Linked DNA regions of Elephas maximus indicus. The protein of the gene in region 2 binds, or shares a complex with, the protein of the main gene of each other region. Links are inferred from orthologs where the notes say so. Each region holds a gene or a part of one and is shown on either strand. Other genes may lie near its edges.

The links.
Region 1: the proteins of DOCK5 (region 2) and RHOG are in contact, whole or in part, in a cryo-EM structure (PDB 8XM7), measured with the Homo sapiens proteins. The link is inferred for Elephas maximus indicus from reciprocal best matches to the Homo sapiens genes DOCK5 and RHOG. Residues at the interface, in NP_079216.4 of Homo sapiens: Val232, Phe345, Asn393, His394, Lys395, Gly396, Trp400; in NP_001656.2 of Homo sapiens: Ala121, Pro123, Leu126, Arg127, Arg128, Lys130.

Annotation. Positions count from the first base shown.
Region 1 is NC_064825.1:53,151,900-53,159,751, reverse strand, and holds the start of RHOG (rho-related GTP-binding protein RhoG), read left to right. Parts: upstream 1-4,834; 5' UTR 4,835-4,938; intron 4,939-7,852.
Region 2 is NC_064840.1:48,552,095-48,559,229, forward strand, and holds the start of DOCK5 (dedicator of cytokinesis protein 5), read right to left. Parts: upstream 3,016-7,135; 5' UTR 2,798-3,015; coding exon 2,755-2,797; intron 1-2,754. UniProt on the Homo sapiens protein: Guanine nucleotide exchange factor (GEF) for Rho and Rac. GEF proteins activate small GTPases by exchanging bound GDP for free GTP. Along with DOCK1, mediates CRK/CRKL regulation of epithelial and endothelial cell spreading and migration on type IV collagen.

The DNA.
Region 1 (7,852 bases), on a different chromosome or scaffold from region 2:
ACAGGCCTGGCGATTTGCTTCCAAAAAGTTGCAGCTTTGAAAACTCTATGGGGCAGTTCTACTCTGCATGCATGTGAACCAGAATCGGCTCAACAGCAGCAAACAACAACAAAGAAATTTAATTCTACAGATGTATACTGAAGGCAAATGTGGCCCAGCCCTGCCTGTGCCAGTGGGTGGACAGAGATATGAATCAGACATAACCTCAAAGACTTTTAGTCAGTGGGGGAGTCAGACGTTAGGCACAGATACAATTAACTAGAGCACAAAAGAAGATGACCTAAATGGTATTAAAGAACTATGAGCAACACGCTATATACATAAACCTTGATTACTTAATTACTATTCTGAAAAGTGTATCATCTATCTTTTAGTCAGAGCTAAAAGGTATCATCTAGTTCAACCTTTTGTTTTCCACTGGAGTTGTCTGAGATGTGGAGAAGGGTGGGGCCTAACCTAAAGTCTCTCACCAGTCCATTTGGCTGAGCCAAGACTAGAACCAGTTTTTCTGAAGCCCAGTCCAGGGCTCTTTCCACCTCCTCTTGAAGTTCCATGTGCAATAGTCCCATCTCCCATGAGACCGTGTGAACCTCGAAGCAGAGTCAGGTTCTCCCACCCAAGCAAGCTAAGCTAGGACCAGGAGAGCTCAAGGCACCCAGGGATTCAGGATATGCAGCCTGACCACGGGCTGGCAATCCAGCCCTTTGATCTACTGCACCCCAGTGTGCACCCTACTCTTACCAATATGCGTGTAAAATTTATTTTCTTCAAGTATTTTTTTTGCAGGAAACACTTTTTTTTTTTTTTACATGAAGTCTTTACCCAGAGCCAGATCCATTGCCATCAAGTTGATTCTGACTCATGGCCACCCCATGAGTAGCACTGCTCCATAGGTCTTTCTTGACTAATCTTTGTGGAAGCAGGATGTCAGGTCTGTCTTCCACAGCACCAATGGGTGAGTTCAAACCACCAACCTTTAGGTTAGTAGTTGAAAACAAACCCTTTGTGCCACCCAGGGTCCTTTATCCAGGAAAAACCAAGCTTGTTGTTTTCAAGTCAATTTCAACTCCTAGCAACTCTAGAGGAAACCCTGGTGGCATAGCGGCTAAGAGCTATGGCTGCTAACCAAAAGGTTGGCAGTTTGAATTTACCAGATGCTCCTTGGAAACCCTATGGAGCAGTTCTACTCTGTCCTCTAGTGTCCCTATAAGTTGGAATCGACTCAACAACTATGAGTTTGGTAACCCTAGAAGAGGAAGAAGGTCAAAGCCCCACTATTTTCCTGCCCTCATGTCCTGGGAAGGGAACTCTAGGAAGAGAGCTCAAAAATCTTTGTTCTGGAACGTAATTTTTAATGGCTTTAGAGAAGCCATTTTAAGTGTGGTCTTCTGCCAAATCCTGTCTTTTATGGAAACTCACAATCCTGTCTTCGTTCGTCAAACCCGGAGCACCAACCACGTACTCCCACTAGGCTATGGAGGGAATGAGGTTTTCACTTTGTCTCTCCTGTTCTCTCCTTTGCAGAGAGAAGTTGGTCTCAAGTGTTGCTGAACTGAGAAGAGGAACCCAAACTCTGCCTGGGACAGCAGGGGAGGCTTCCTGAGGAGGAGAATCTTGGAGAACTAATTCATCCACTCAGAGTCATTTACCAGCCTAAATCTGATAGCGTATCTAACTTCCCCGTCAGATACCACCAGCCACATGTGCTGTTGAGCAGTTGAAATGTGGCTAGTCCAAATTGAGACATACTGTAAGTGTAAAATACATACCAGATTTCAAAGGTTTAGTACTTCTAATTATTAATTTTTATGTGGATTATATGTTGAATGATAATATTTTTGATATATTGTGTTAAATAAAATATATTACTAGAATTAATTTTACGTGTTTCTTTTTACTTTTTAGCAAATGTCATTATTAAAAGATTTTTTTCTCGGTTCATTTTTTTTTTTCAAATTTTATTTTGTTGTTATTGAGAATATACACAGCAAAACATACACCAATTCAGCAGCTTCTACATGTACAATTTAGTGACATTGATTAACATTTTTCAAGTTGTGCAACTATTCTCATCCTCCTTTTCTGACTTGTTCCTCTCTCTTTAACATAAACTCATTGCCCCCCAAAGGTTCCTAGCTAATCTTTGGAGTTACTCTTGTCAATGTGATCCCATATAGATGTTCTTCAAAGACCACAATGCTCAAGGCAGACCTGTTTTACCAGTTAAGCTAAACTATTGTTTGGTTTTAAGATGAGTTCAGGGATACTTTTGGTTTAAGGTCTAAAAATTATCTCAGGGTGACTAGAAGGACTCCAGTGGTCGTGGCCCCCAGACCTTCTGTTGGCCCAGGACAGGAACCATTCCCGAAGCCAACTCTTCAAACATGGATTGGACTGGACAATGGGTTGGAGAGGGATGCTGGTGAGGAGTGAGCTTCTTGGATCAGGTGGACACTTGAGACTATGTTGGCACCTCCTGCCTAGAGGGGAGATGAGAGGGTAGAGGCAGTTAGAAGCTGGCGCAATGGACACAAAAAGAGAGTGGAGGGAGAGAGCGGGCTATCTCAATAGGGGGAGAGTAATTGGGAGTGTGTAGCAAGGTGTATACGGGTTTTTGTGTGAGAGACTGACTTGATTTGTAAACTTTCACTTAAAGCACAATAAAAATTATTTTAAAAAAATTATCTTAGGGCAATAGTTTCAGGAGTTCATTTACCCTCCCTGGCTCCAGAAAGTCTAGAGTCCATGAAAATTTGAAATTCTGTTCTACATTTCCCCCCTTTTGATCAGGATTCTTCTATAGCTCCGTAATGGTAGCTGGGCACCATCCAGCTCTTCTGGTCTCATGACAAAGGAGGCAGTTGTTCATGGAGGTAATTAGCCACACATTCTGTTATGTTGTTAGGTGCCATCAAGTCGGTTCCAACTTATAGTGACCCCAACCACAACAGAAGGAAACACTGCCCCATCCTGCGCCATCCTCACAATCGTCCTTATGCTTGAGCCCATTGTTGCAGCCACTGTGTCAGTCTATCTCTTTGAGGGTCTTCCTCTTTTTTTGTTGACCCTCTACTTTATCAAGCATTATGTCCTTCTCCAGGGACTGGTCCCTCCTGGTAACATGTCCAAAGTTAACATTCCATATCCTTCTATTCCTGACTGTCCTTCTTCCTCTTTTGCTCCAGGTTAGTAGAGACTAACTGTTGCGCCTTGGATGGCCCCTTGCAAGCTTTTAAGATCCCAGGCACTACTCAAGTTACTAGGAAGTAGAACAGAGGCACTAAACACATTATTAGGCCAATTAACTGGGATGTCCCATAAAACTATGACCCTAAATATCCAAACCAAGGAACCAAATCCCATGAGGTGTTTGGTTGTACACAAACTCAGCAGCTGCTTTTTTTTTTTGTCATTGTCATCATTAGAAAATTTTGAATTACAAATGTGGCTTGCATTCTATTTCTTTTGGACAGCACTGGGAGAGTCAAACGCATGGCAGGGGTGGTTGGGGTATGTGTGTGCTGGAGGGAGGAAAGATGAAGCCAGGCAGGGAGTAGTTTAGTACAGCCAGATTGTGAAAGAATAAGCCGATCTCCCCTGGCCGACTACACAGAAAAGAAGTCAGAGGGAACAGAATGCGCAAAGATCCAAAGATGTGGGCAAGCCCGCTGTGTTTTGAGAACTCATAGTATGACATAAAAAGAAAAAATAAAGAAGCATTTATTGAGTGTTTACTTTGAGCCAGGCACTGACAGTAGGCCTTTTACATCTATTATTTTATCTTTACAACTAACGGGCGAAGGGGACCGTATTCTATTTTACCAAAGAAAGAACTGAGGCTCAGAAAGGTCGAGCTATTTATTCCCGGAGCTCACCCTTTTTTATGTGGAAAACCTCTTGAAGACAGGGCGCCTCTACGGTCTTAAACGCCTGTGAGTTTCTAGAGCACCCAGCATGGGGTTCTGCACGTGGTTGGCGCTGGAAAGTTTGATTTGAACCAAGAATATCAGCTCCAAAGTCAGAGTTCCGTGCAAGGCGTCGGAGCAAAAACACCAGAGGGCGCCCACGAGTCCGCCAGTCCCCCGGGCCCGGACCCCGACCTCCGGCCGCGACCCCGCGGCCTGGGTGCGGCCCTTCAGCCTCTAGCAGCTGCGCGCCCCGGCGGGAAGATGGAGCGCGGGGAGCCCCACGTCCTCTGCCCGCCCCGCCCCCTCCCCAGGGCCCGGCTGAGCCACCGGGTGCGGAACGACGACACGACATCCTGTTTTTGGGCCCGCGGCTCCGCCTGCGCCTCTGCTGATCTTGTCTTTCCCCGTGTGCTGACGCCAGCTCCCCTTCCCCCAGTCTCCGCAACCCCCCCCCACAAAGGGTCTGGGGCCTTCCCACTACTGAATCATCACCACCCCGCAATCCCCCGGGGCTCGGGGCAAAGGTGGGGACTGCCCCAGCGTAACCTATTCTGCCCATTCCCCAGCTGCGGCCATTGCCCGGTCCCTGGGTTTGGCAGAAGTCACCAGGCCTAGGGGCGCCTTTTCTCAGCATCTTCCCGCAACGGGTGGAAGGGACGAGATACAGGCGTGGGGGACAAATGCCTAGCGCCTAGGCTTAGGCCTCTGATGGGACCGGAGCCAAGGAGGAGGCTAGAAGGCCTGACCTTGGCAGGCTTGACTTAAAAGACTCCGGCCAGTGGGCTGAAGGCGGGGAGCCTCGGACCGGGGCGGGGGCGAGGCCGTGGGTGGGGGGCAAGGCTGGGAGAGGGTGAGGCGGTGAGGGCGGGTCGCGGACTTCCTGGTCGTGCCCCGCGCTCCGCCCCCGCGCCCCGCCCCGCCGGCTGGCCCGCCCCCCCCACTTCCTCCGGCCTCCCGCTCTCACTTCCTTCTTGAGCCCGGAGCCGCTGCCGCCGCCTCCCCAGCTCCCCCGCGGTGGGGAGGGCAACAGGTAAGGCTGGGCCCGGGCCGGCGGACTGGGGGACCGGGGGAGGGGAGCCCGGCCAGCGCGGGACGGGGCGCAGGCGCCGGCCCAGGAAGTTTGCTTGCGGGAGGCCGCGGGCGGGAGGTTCTTGGTTCGCTCCAAGTTGGGCGGGCGCGGCCGGTCGGGCGGGGCGGAGACCGGGCCACTGCGAGCCAGCGGCGGCTCGGTCAGAGTGGATTCCCGGCAGCTGTACCGGCTCTCGGGAGCCGGGAGAACCCCCTTAGGCCAGCGTGTCTCTGGCTCAGGGAGGACAGCCTCTGAAGTGGAAGTGCTCAGAGCTAGGATGTGGAACTCAGAGGTGGGGGTGCCCACAGAAGTTGTCGGTGGAGGGCGGTGACCAAGTGTGTGAGGGGAGAGAGTCTCGGGCAATTGTGACATTTGTGAGGTTGAGAGGGGGTAGGTGTCTGGGGCCTGCGAACCCTGGAGACTGCACAGAAAGAGGTCCCGCCCTGGGAGAACGAGGTCACCCCATACCCACACTCTGCAACCAAAAGGACCCGGAGGGAACCCCGCCGACCCCAGTCCTTCTCTCTGTGTGTCTGTTTCTCTGAAGCCCAACCTCCCCATCCCTGGACCCAAGCAACAGGTATTCAGTGAGCAGACATCTGCAGTGCCCAGCTGACCAGTGTCTGGCCTTGCTCTGTGGTGGGTAAACTGAGGAAGGAAAAGGCCTGGTCTTGTCCTGTGGCTGGAGGTGAAAGGACTCTCATTCAGAGATACTGAGAGTTGGACAAGATGGCATAACTGAGATCAGGTCTGTTTTCAGGAAATGGAGAAAATAGGGCTTCTGAGAGGCATCAGGGTCTCTGGCCTTCTGGGAACAATTGGTAGCCATCTACTAGTCTTCCCCCCCCCGCCCCCGCCATTCTTAGTCCCTGAATTCTACCCACTTTCTCATTCTGTCTCCCTCCATCCCTCCTTTAGTCTCCACCCACAAACTGGCCATCACTATCTCCTCTCCTCCCCTCTCCTTCTGTCTTCTTTCCCCCGATCACAGCCCTGACCTCTCCTTAACTACTCTAACCTGCTGTCCATCTCAGTCTCCTGCTGCATCCCCCCCCTCCTTTCGCTATCCGGCTTCTGGCTCCCCACCATCTTGTTCCTTCCATCTCCTCTCATTCTCATAATCTCTCAGTTTGTCACCCTCTCTCTGTCACCTTCCCTTTCACCCACTTCTCTCCAGCTTTGGGGTCAGGATCTACTGTAGAAGACTTGGTGAGTTTGAGAGCCTTTTTGAACCTCCCAGAGACATGCTGCAACCTCTCGGTGATGGAGATGATTAAAGGGCTGGAAAATGTCTGTGTGTGTGTGTGTGTGTGCGCACATGTGCAAGTGTCTCTGTGTCCATATCTTTAACTGGAGACAGCCAAATAACTGCTCTCAGCCTTGAGAGGCCCCAGAGCAGGGGAAGCCAGCAGAATGAAGGGAACCTGCAGTGGATGAGTTGTGGTTAGGCAGGAGGAAGCAGTCCATAGCAGTCAGGGTACAGTAACACAGGAATAAGACTGGTGAGAGAGGCCACAGGAAATCAGAGTCGTCCAGACCCTTGACTGCTTAACCAAGAAGCCAGTCCTGAAGGCTGGGGGACAGTGAGTGGCCTTAGGAGATGAGTCCCTGGCTTCAGCACCTCCTGGTGGGAAGAATAGGATCAGGCCACCTAGGTGCAGTGGAAGAGAGCAAAGGCAGCTGATTTAACTTCAGTCTTAGGTGTTTTCATTTCAGTTCAGGAGAAGAAGATGGGTATGAGGCAAAAGTGTCTGCCCCTCTTCCCTCCTACCTTCCAGAGGCCATCCAGACTGGGCCTTGGTGACCGGGAAGCCCTCTGGAGTTCAGCTCTTGATGCCTTTAGCCATTCTTAATATTCCCTCTATCACCTAGGACCCTACTCCCTCTCTTTTGTGAATTTCTTCCAAGTCTAATTTTAGCCTAGCCTGGCTCTATAAGCTCTTTTTGTTTCCATTCTAGAGCTCCTTTCTCAGGCCTTTGGGATGTATGCTAAGGGTTCCTGCTTCTCTCAAGCTCCTCCAGTCTGCTCTACTCCTATCCGCTAGAAAAAAGAGAAGTAGAGGGGAGCAGGCACTACTTTTTTGGGTTCCCAGGCACAGATAAATGTAAGGCTCTCCCCATTCCTTATCCCATTCTCTTCCCTTCTCACAGTTGTCCCTTTCCCATGAGTTGTTCCTTCTTCCAGTCCTGCTCTTCCACCTACCTGTCTCTCCTACTCTCATTTCTGGGAGGTGCAGGGAGTTTGGCCCCAGGAGGAAATCCCAGGGAGGGGCTAGCCTTGCATAAAATTCCAGCCCTGGGAAGGATGTGCATGAAAGACACTTTCTCGACATCAGGATTCAGTTTAAAAAAAAAAAACTACCCAAGAGTTGTGACACACACGAGTTCAGCATTTTACATAATTGAGCAACTCATGGGACTCTGAGGGTGAAGATAGAATGGATGAGTTCTCCCAGTCAAGATCTGGCAGTACTAGAGGATTGTTAATTGCAAGAAAATCATTACTGGAAAAATACAACAGGGATGAGGAGAATCTAATTGGGAAAATATCATGGGGGAGTCGGGGGGAGCGTTGCCTACAACCTAGGAGATAGCTGTTGAGGTCTTGACTAAAGAAATACTGTCAAGGTCATGGCATGAAAAGAAATGGCTGATGTGAAGTTGTTACAGATCCTGATTGGGAATCTGGGACAACAGGGGTTGCTTCTGGCAAAGTGTTAGGGCAGAAGCGGCTGGTGTAAACTTTTAGGGGCTTATGAGCCAGAAGGTATAAGAGGTTGTAGTAGCTGGGGTACTGGGAAGCAGAGGGAACCCTGACAGTGAATTCAGCTTAATGAGGTAGGAACAACTCCAAAAAGGAGGGTGAGAATGGTTG
Region 2 (7,135 bases):
CATATCGGGGTGAATGAGGGGGAAAAACTGCATTTAATTCACCACAGAAATTATGTCATCTACTCTAAAAAGCCACTCCAACATCAAGGACAAGCAGTTACTGAATGTACACTATACACCCTGTATACCTCCTGAGTGACAGGGACACAACCATCACCTTCTGATTTTGAGAACCCAAATACAGGAGGATCAGCACAAAATAAGGTATGGAGTAACGCAGGATTGTAAAGAAGAGGTGTGGAGGTTTGGGAAGCTGTGGCAGACAGCAAATTTGGGGGAGGCAGTGGGAACAGATTTGAGCGCTATGGGAAGGCTGCACTGTGGGGTGCAGAGGTGGGAGGGCATTCTGGGCAGGGAACAAGCACTGTCAGAGCAAAGTCCTGAAGGAGGGACTCTCCGTGATGTATTGCACAAGAGTGAGAAGAGCAGTTTGTCTGCATTGGAGGCTTAACGTAAGAAGCCATGGGAGATAAGGATGGTGATGATATGTTGAATCAGACCTGTTGGAACACTGGAACTTGGGCTCAGTTTAGACTTTACCCTGTAGGGCATGGAAAGCTTCTGAGCAGAGAGGTGATATGAACAATCATGTGTTTTAGGAATAAACAATGAAGATTTATCTCTTGAGTTAATCTGTCCTAAGTGTTGGCCCTTGTACCAAATGTAAAGGATCAGAATCTTTATGTTTTGCTAAATGTGTCCCAAATTACATCCTGGGGCAACTGTGCTACCACCTATGTCCTGAAAAGGCTACTGAAATATTTTTCTTGACTAATGATAAATAACATGGAAAACTAACTCCAGGAAAGGAAAAAAAAAAGTTAAAAAGAAAAACTATCGTACTTGCTCCTATGACTATGGCAATACAACCAACCACATTTTGGGGATACATTTACATTAATTGTGCCCAAGTCATAATACTTTTGAACACAGTTTTTATTCAGTTAAACAAAACTTAGATTTGATAACTTTTCTGCAATTCGTACTTAGTGATTATCAGTTTTCTGACTCAGGGAGACCCCATGTGTGTCAGAGTAAAACTGTGCTCCATAGAGTTTTCAATGGCTGGTTTTTTGGAAGTAGATCGCCAGGCCTTTCTTCTGAGGAGACTCTGGGTGGACTTGAACCTCCAACCTTTCAGTTAGTAGCCTAGCTAACCATGGGCACTACCCAGGGGCTCCCTTTAATGGCTACAGAGCTCAAATCACCTAGAGATCTTAAGAGTTATCTCTGAAATAAACTTAGATGTGGAAAAGCTCAGAATTGGTTTAGGGGCTCCTCCCTAGATATTCCAGGAAAAATGGGGGTTAGAGACAGAATGAAGTAAAAGAAATTACAAATAGGCCAAAAGAATGAACATGAGAGGAAGTAATAAAATTCTCAACATACACAGCTATGTTTATATTAGGGAATCACTCTGACCTCTATCACTGCCATTGCAATCTCCCCCGCTAATGGCACAGTTCCCCCCACAAGACCTCAACAAAGCATCTCTTTGATTTAAAAAAAAAAAAAAAAGGTGGAAAACCAAAAACCAAACCCGTCGTCGAGTCAACTGGACTCATTGCGACGGTATACGACAGGGTAGAACTGTCCCATAGGGCTTCCAAGGGTGTAATCTTTAAGGAAGCAGAATCCCACTGCCACAACTTTCTTCCGCGGAGCGACTCGTGGGTTCCAACTGTTGATCTTTTGGTTACCAGCCCAACGCTTAACCGCTGCGCCACCGGGTCTACTTAAAAAGGGGAAGGAGCATGGCTTTTCACCTGCGTCAGAAGCCTGCAAAGCCATTTGTCCCTGTGCCAAACCAACACAACAGGAATCCCTCCGCACATGCTAGGGCTCTCCAGCACCGCCATTAGGAATGCCAAGTGCCTAGCTCCGGACCTGTCACAGAGTTTTCTGAATAAACTTTCCTCATCTTACCCCACGATGAAAAAGAGGATTCTGAAGACCACTTTATACCGTCTCCACACAAGCTCCGTTAGGGGAGGAGTGTCTGCACAAACGGCCCCAGAGGCCAGCCACCCCTTCCCAAGCCACACACTTCCTCTCATCGCTTCAAACCACAAATTCAGTTTTCCACTCAGCTTACAGACTGTTAGCAAGATTCCAGTGCTCAGCACTCTGTCCCAGGGAAAAGCGGGGGAAGGGGAGGAGGCGTGTTTCTATCCTCCAGTCTCACTTTGAGGCCTCCGAGAGGAACCTATGAAGAAGGAAGTCGGAAAGCACTGGGAAACGACTAGCATTCCCATTCGGCGGACCTCGGCTGCTTACAAACATTGAATGAAACCAAACGGATGGGCGGAAGGAGGGGAGCAACAGAGCTGGGCTTCCCAAATGAATAGCAGGCGGGTTCCCTCACTTTTGACGCGTCTACTATGCAACACGATAAATCTTATTTGGGAGCGGATTATCAGTCCCGAAGCCCAAATGCACATTTAGCCGCTCAGGTTCCAAAAACTCCGAGTTACTTCCCCACCGGGGCGGCAACTGACCCCTCCCGGGAGAGGGCCCCGAGCCCGCCCCGCTCCCAGTAACGGCGGCAGCCCGAGTTCAGCCCCGCAGGCACCCGCGAGGGCCGCAGATCCCGAGCCCGGGGCCCGGCACGGCGCCGGCGGCGCGCTCTGCAAATCGCCGGACTCCACCGCCCGACTCGCCCGCGGGCAGGGCCAGTCCCCGCGAACTTTGCAGCGACCGCTGCAGACCTGCGAAGCTGGCCGGGTCGGGGGGCGGGGTAGGCCGAGCACTCACCAACTCCGTATTTCTGCCTCTTGGTCGGGATCCAGCGGGCCATGGCGGCGACCTCGCCCCGCGGCGGCACCGGTTGCGGCGGCTACAGCTCCTCCGGCGCCGGCCGCCGCCGCCCCGCGCTGCTCCGCGCCCCGGGCTCTTCCGCCATGTTCCGTCAAACTTCGCTGCGACCCCTGCAAGCCGTCTTCCGCGGCTCTGCGCGCCGCCCGCGCCGAGACTGGACCCGCTCCGCCGCCGGTCCCACCCGGCCCGCGCCCGCGCCCGCGCCGCCCGCGGTCACCTGCTGGGCCGGGCGGCCGCGCCGCCCTGCGCCCTCGAGGCACCGCCCCGGCTCCTCCTGCCCGCCGCCCCACCCCGCGCCGCGCCCTTAGCTCCCGAGGCAGCCTGCCCGCCGGCTCAGGGACTCCCGGCTCGCCCACGCCGGGCGTGCTCGTTCGGCCCTGCGCGCTTTCTGGGAGCAGTTTCCCAGGGCTGACTCTGGGGTATGGCTTTTTTCTTTTTTTTTTTTTCCCCCCGCCTTCCCCACACCGGATTAAACCCAAGAGACTGGATCCGGTGGGGCGAGTTCCCCGCTGGAGGCGCCCAGCACACTCGGGCCGGGCTGCGGGGCACCGGTGGGCGAGGAGTGGGAGTCTGCGCCCACTGTGCGCTCCGGAGCCTTTTGGGGCGGGCGGGGGCGGGGAACAGAATGAATTAATAGAGGTTGTGTCTCGCCCCGGAGGGAACTCCCCAGTGCTTGGCGCTTGGCACTTGCCCGGCGCTCAATAAATATTTGTTGAATAAATGAGCAGTTGACTACTGCGTTCATCCCCTAGAGCTTTAACAGACACCACGCGAGCCGGAAGCCAGCCGGACTCCGGGGCAGACATTATCTCCTGTGGCCACCGTTTATAGCCTCTCAAAGCTGGGACATTTGTCTTCTGGTAAGTAGAGAGCTGGTGCGAGGGAGACGGGCTCCTCATTAGTATCAAATAGTTTCCTGATGGGTCCTCTGTGGGGGAATTATTTAGAAAGCCGTAGTTTCTAAGTCCTGTATCCCGTAAAACGCCGGAATACCTCTCCAGCTGAAGAAATTCATTCACTCTTGCTCAGGGAAAAAAGGATCTGCCCCAAGACTCCCTTTTCCTGGGAGCCAGCAGTCCAGAGAGCATCCCTGCGGAGAAAGGGACCGGGCACATTGATGTCTTTTTCTGGTTCACTGACTGTATTGACAAGAAATCGAAAACTGGGACTGCGCATTTGAACTGCCTCGGGTTCCAATTGGAGCCCTCTCTGGAACTCCCCTTTTTGAAACTCACTGGGAGAGACTTCAGCAAATGAAGGCACAGGAGTTCAGGGGGCTTCTTGCTATCTCACGCGGTGGAAGTATAATCTCAAACAGAGTAAATGACAAGCTTAATTATGTTCACCATCTGAGAAAATGCCTTTTGAAAGAAATTGCATTACCCTTGCAGTCTGTGAAGGTTTTCTTCCGTGTTTGAGCATGAAAGGAAAGAAAGATAAAATAATCATGCAGCGAAATATAGTAAAAACTTGTTTGAAGAATAAGTGCATTATAATTCTGATAACTTTCTGCAAAGCCAGGTCTAAAAAAAAAACCCTGTTTAAGGTGGGTAGTTCTCAGGGCTTACTTTCTTCTGCATCACCCAACAAGTATTTATTCACAAAATAGAATCAGAAACTTAATATAAGAGATTCCCCTGTCATTCAGGCTTGACATCCAAAAGGTATTCCATCTCCCTGAAAATAAAATTTCTTTTCCTCTATCAATGATAACATGAGTAACCTGATTTCCCAGGTTAAAGAATTCATTTCTTCATTCGTCCCTTCCACTAATGTTTATTAAGTGCCTGCTAGATACCAGGCATTGTTTTAAGAATGGGGGTACGTCAGTGAATAAAGTAAAATCCCTGCCATCATAGAGCTTACATTCTAGAACTGAAGAGTGAGACAACAAATATATACCAGGTAGTGATAAGGTCTATGGAGAAAAATCCAAAGCAAGGCAGATGGAATGTGTAGGGCGTGCTGCTATCCTATATAGAGTGATCTGGGAAGGCGTCTCTAAGATGACATTGAAGTATAGACCTGAAGAAGTGAGGACTTCAGGGGAAAGAATTACGGACAGTGGGGATAACAAATATAAAGGCCCTGATGCGTGTTCAGCAATTTCCAAAGATAGCCAGGGATTCGGTGTGGTGAGAGCAGAGTAAGGGGAAGAACATGGGAGAGACATGGTCCAGAGGCAATGGGTGTTCAGATAAATAAGGACTTTATATATTACTGTGAGATGGGAAGTTTGGAGGATGTTGAATCAACAAGGACGTGATCTAATTTGCCTGCTGTGTGATGAATAGACTAAAGGGGTGAGGAAAAGCAGGAAGACCAGATGGAAAGCTACTTATTAGTTCAGGCAAAAAATGAAGGGATATTGCAGCTCTGTTTACAATAGCAAAAAGCTGGAAGCAACCAAGATGTCCATCAACGGATGAATGGGTAAATAAATTGTGGTATATTCACACAATGGAATACTACGCATCGATAAAGAACAGTGACAAATCTCTGAAACATTTCATAACATGGAGGAATCTGGAAGGCATTATGCTGAGCGAAATGAGCCAGAGGCAAAAGGACAAATATTGTATAAGACCACTATTATAAGATCTTGAGAAATAGAAAAAACTGAGAAGAACACATACTTTTGTGGTTACAAAGGGGGGAGGGAGGGAGAGAGGGAGAGGGTTTTTTATTGATCAATTAGTAGATAAGAACTGCTTTGGGTGAAGGGAAAGACAACACTCAATACAAGGAAGGTCAGCCTAATTGGACTGGACTAAAAGCAAAGAGGTTTCCGGGATAAAATGAATGCTTCAAAGGTCAGCGGAGCAGGGGCTGGGGTCTGGGGAACATGGTTTGAGGGGACTTCTAAGTCAATGGGCAAAATAATTCTATTATGTAAACATTCTGCATCCCACTTTGAAATGTGGCATCTGGGGTCCTAAATGCCAACAAGCGGCCATCTAAGATACATCAATTGGTCTCAACCCACCTGGAGCAAAGGCAAAGGAAGAACACCAAGGTCACACGACAACTAAGAACCCAAGAGACAGAAAGGGCCACATGAACCAGAGACCTACATTATCCTGAGACCAGAAGAACTAGTTGGTGCCCGGCCACAGTCGATGTCTGCCCTGTCAGGGAGCACAACAGACAACTCCTGAGGGAGCAGGAGACCAATGGGATACAGACCCCAAATTCTCATAAAAAGACCATACTTAATGGTCTGACTGCGACTAGAGGAATCCCGGAGGCAATGCTCCCCAGACCTTCTGATGGCACAGGACAGGAACCATCCCCGAAGACAACTCATCAGACATGAAAAGGACTGGTCAGCGGGGGGGGAGAGAGATGCTGATGAAGAGTGAGCTAATTAAATAAGGTGGACACTGGAGAGTGTGTTGGCAACTCTTGACTGGAGGGGGGTGGGAAGATAGAGAGGGAAGACGGCAAAATTGGCACGAAACGAGAGACTGAAAGGGCTGACTCAATAGGGGGAGAGCAAGTGGGAGAAGGAAGTAAGATGTATGTAAACTTACATGTGACAGACTGATTGGAATGGTAAATGTTCACTTGAAGCTTAATAAAAATTAATTAAAAAAAATGAAGGGAGTTGGGACCAGGATGGTGGAAGTGGGAGTGGTGAAAAGAGGCTGGGTTCTTGACATAAAACTGAAGGTAGAACCAACAGGTGTGGGGTGTGGGTAGAGGATTTACTATGAGGCTAATAAAGCTTGAGTGTCAGGGCCTCTCAGTGTGCTTTCTTAAAAACAGTTTTTGTAAAATTTCTAAAAAAGGATATGTTTGTATTCTTTATTATTTTTTTAGAGAGCTCTACCCCCATTATATAAGCTTCAGTCCCCACAAACTTTGGCCCTTGCCCCTGAGTATAGCTAAAAGAGGGGTCAAGGATGACTTCAGGATATTGGGCCTGAGTTCCTGGCAAATCATTGTTAGTTGCAGTCATGGCAACTTTATGTACAACAGAATGAAGAATTGCCTGGTCCTGCACCATCATCATGATCTTTGGTATGCTTGAGTCCATTATTATGGCCACTCTGTATTTAGAATGCCTTCTCTTCTAGGGGGCTCATCTTCCACCACTGCATCGGACAGTATTCTGTTATATGGCTAATTTTCAGAAGCACATAGTCAGAATTTTCTCCCTACTCTTAGTTCGGAAGATCCGCTGAAACCTGTCCACCATGGGTGACCCTGTTAATTGAAATGTCGGTGGCATAACCTCCAGTATCATAGCAACACACAAGCCACCACAGTACAGCAAACAGACAGAACTGGTGAATAGAGTTGCCATTTTCTTGGT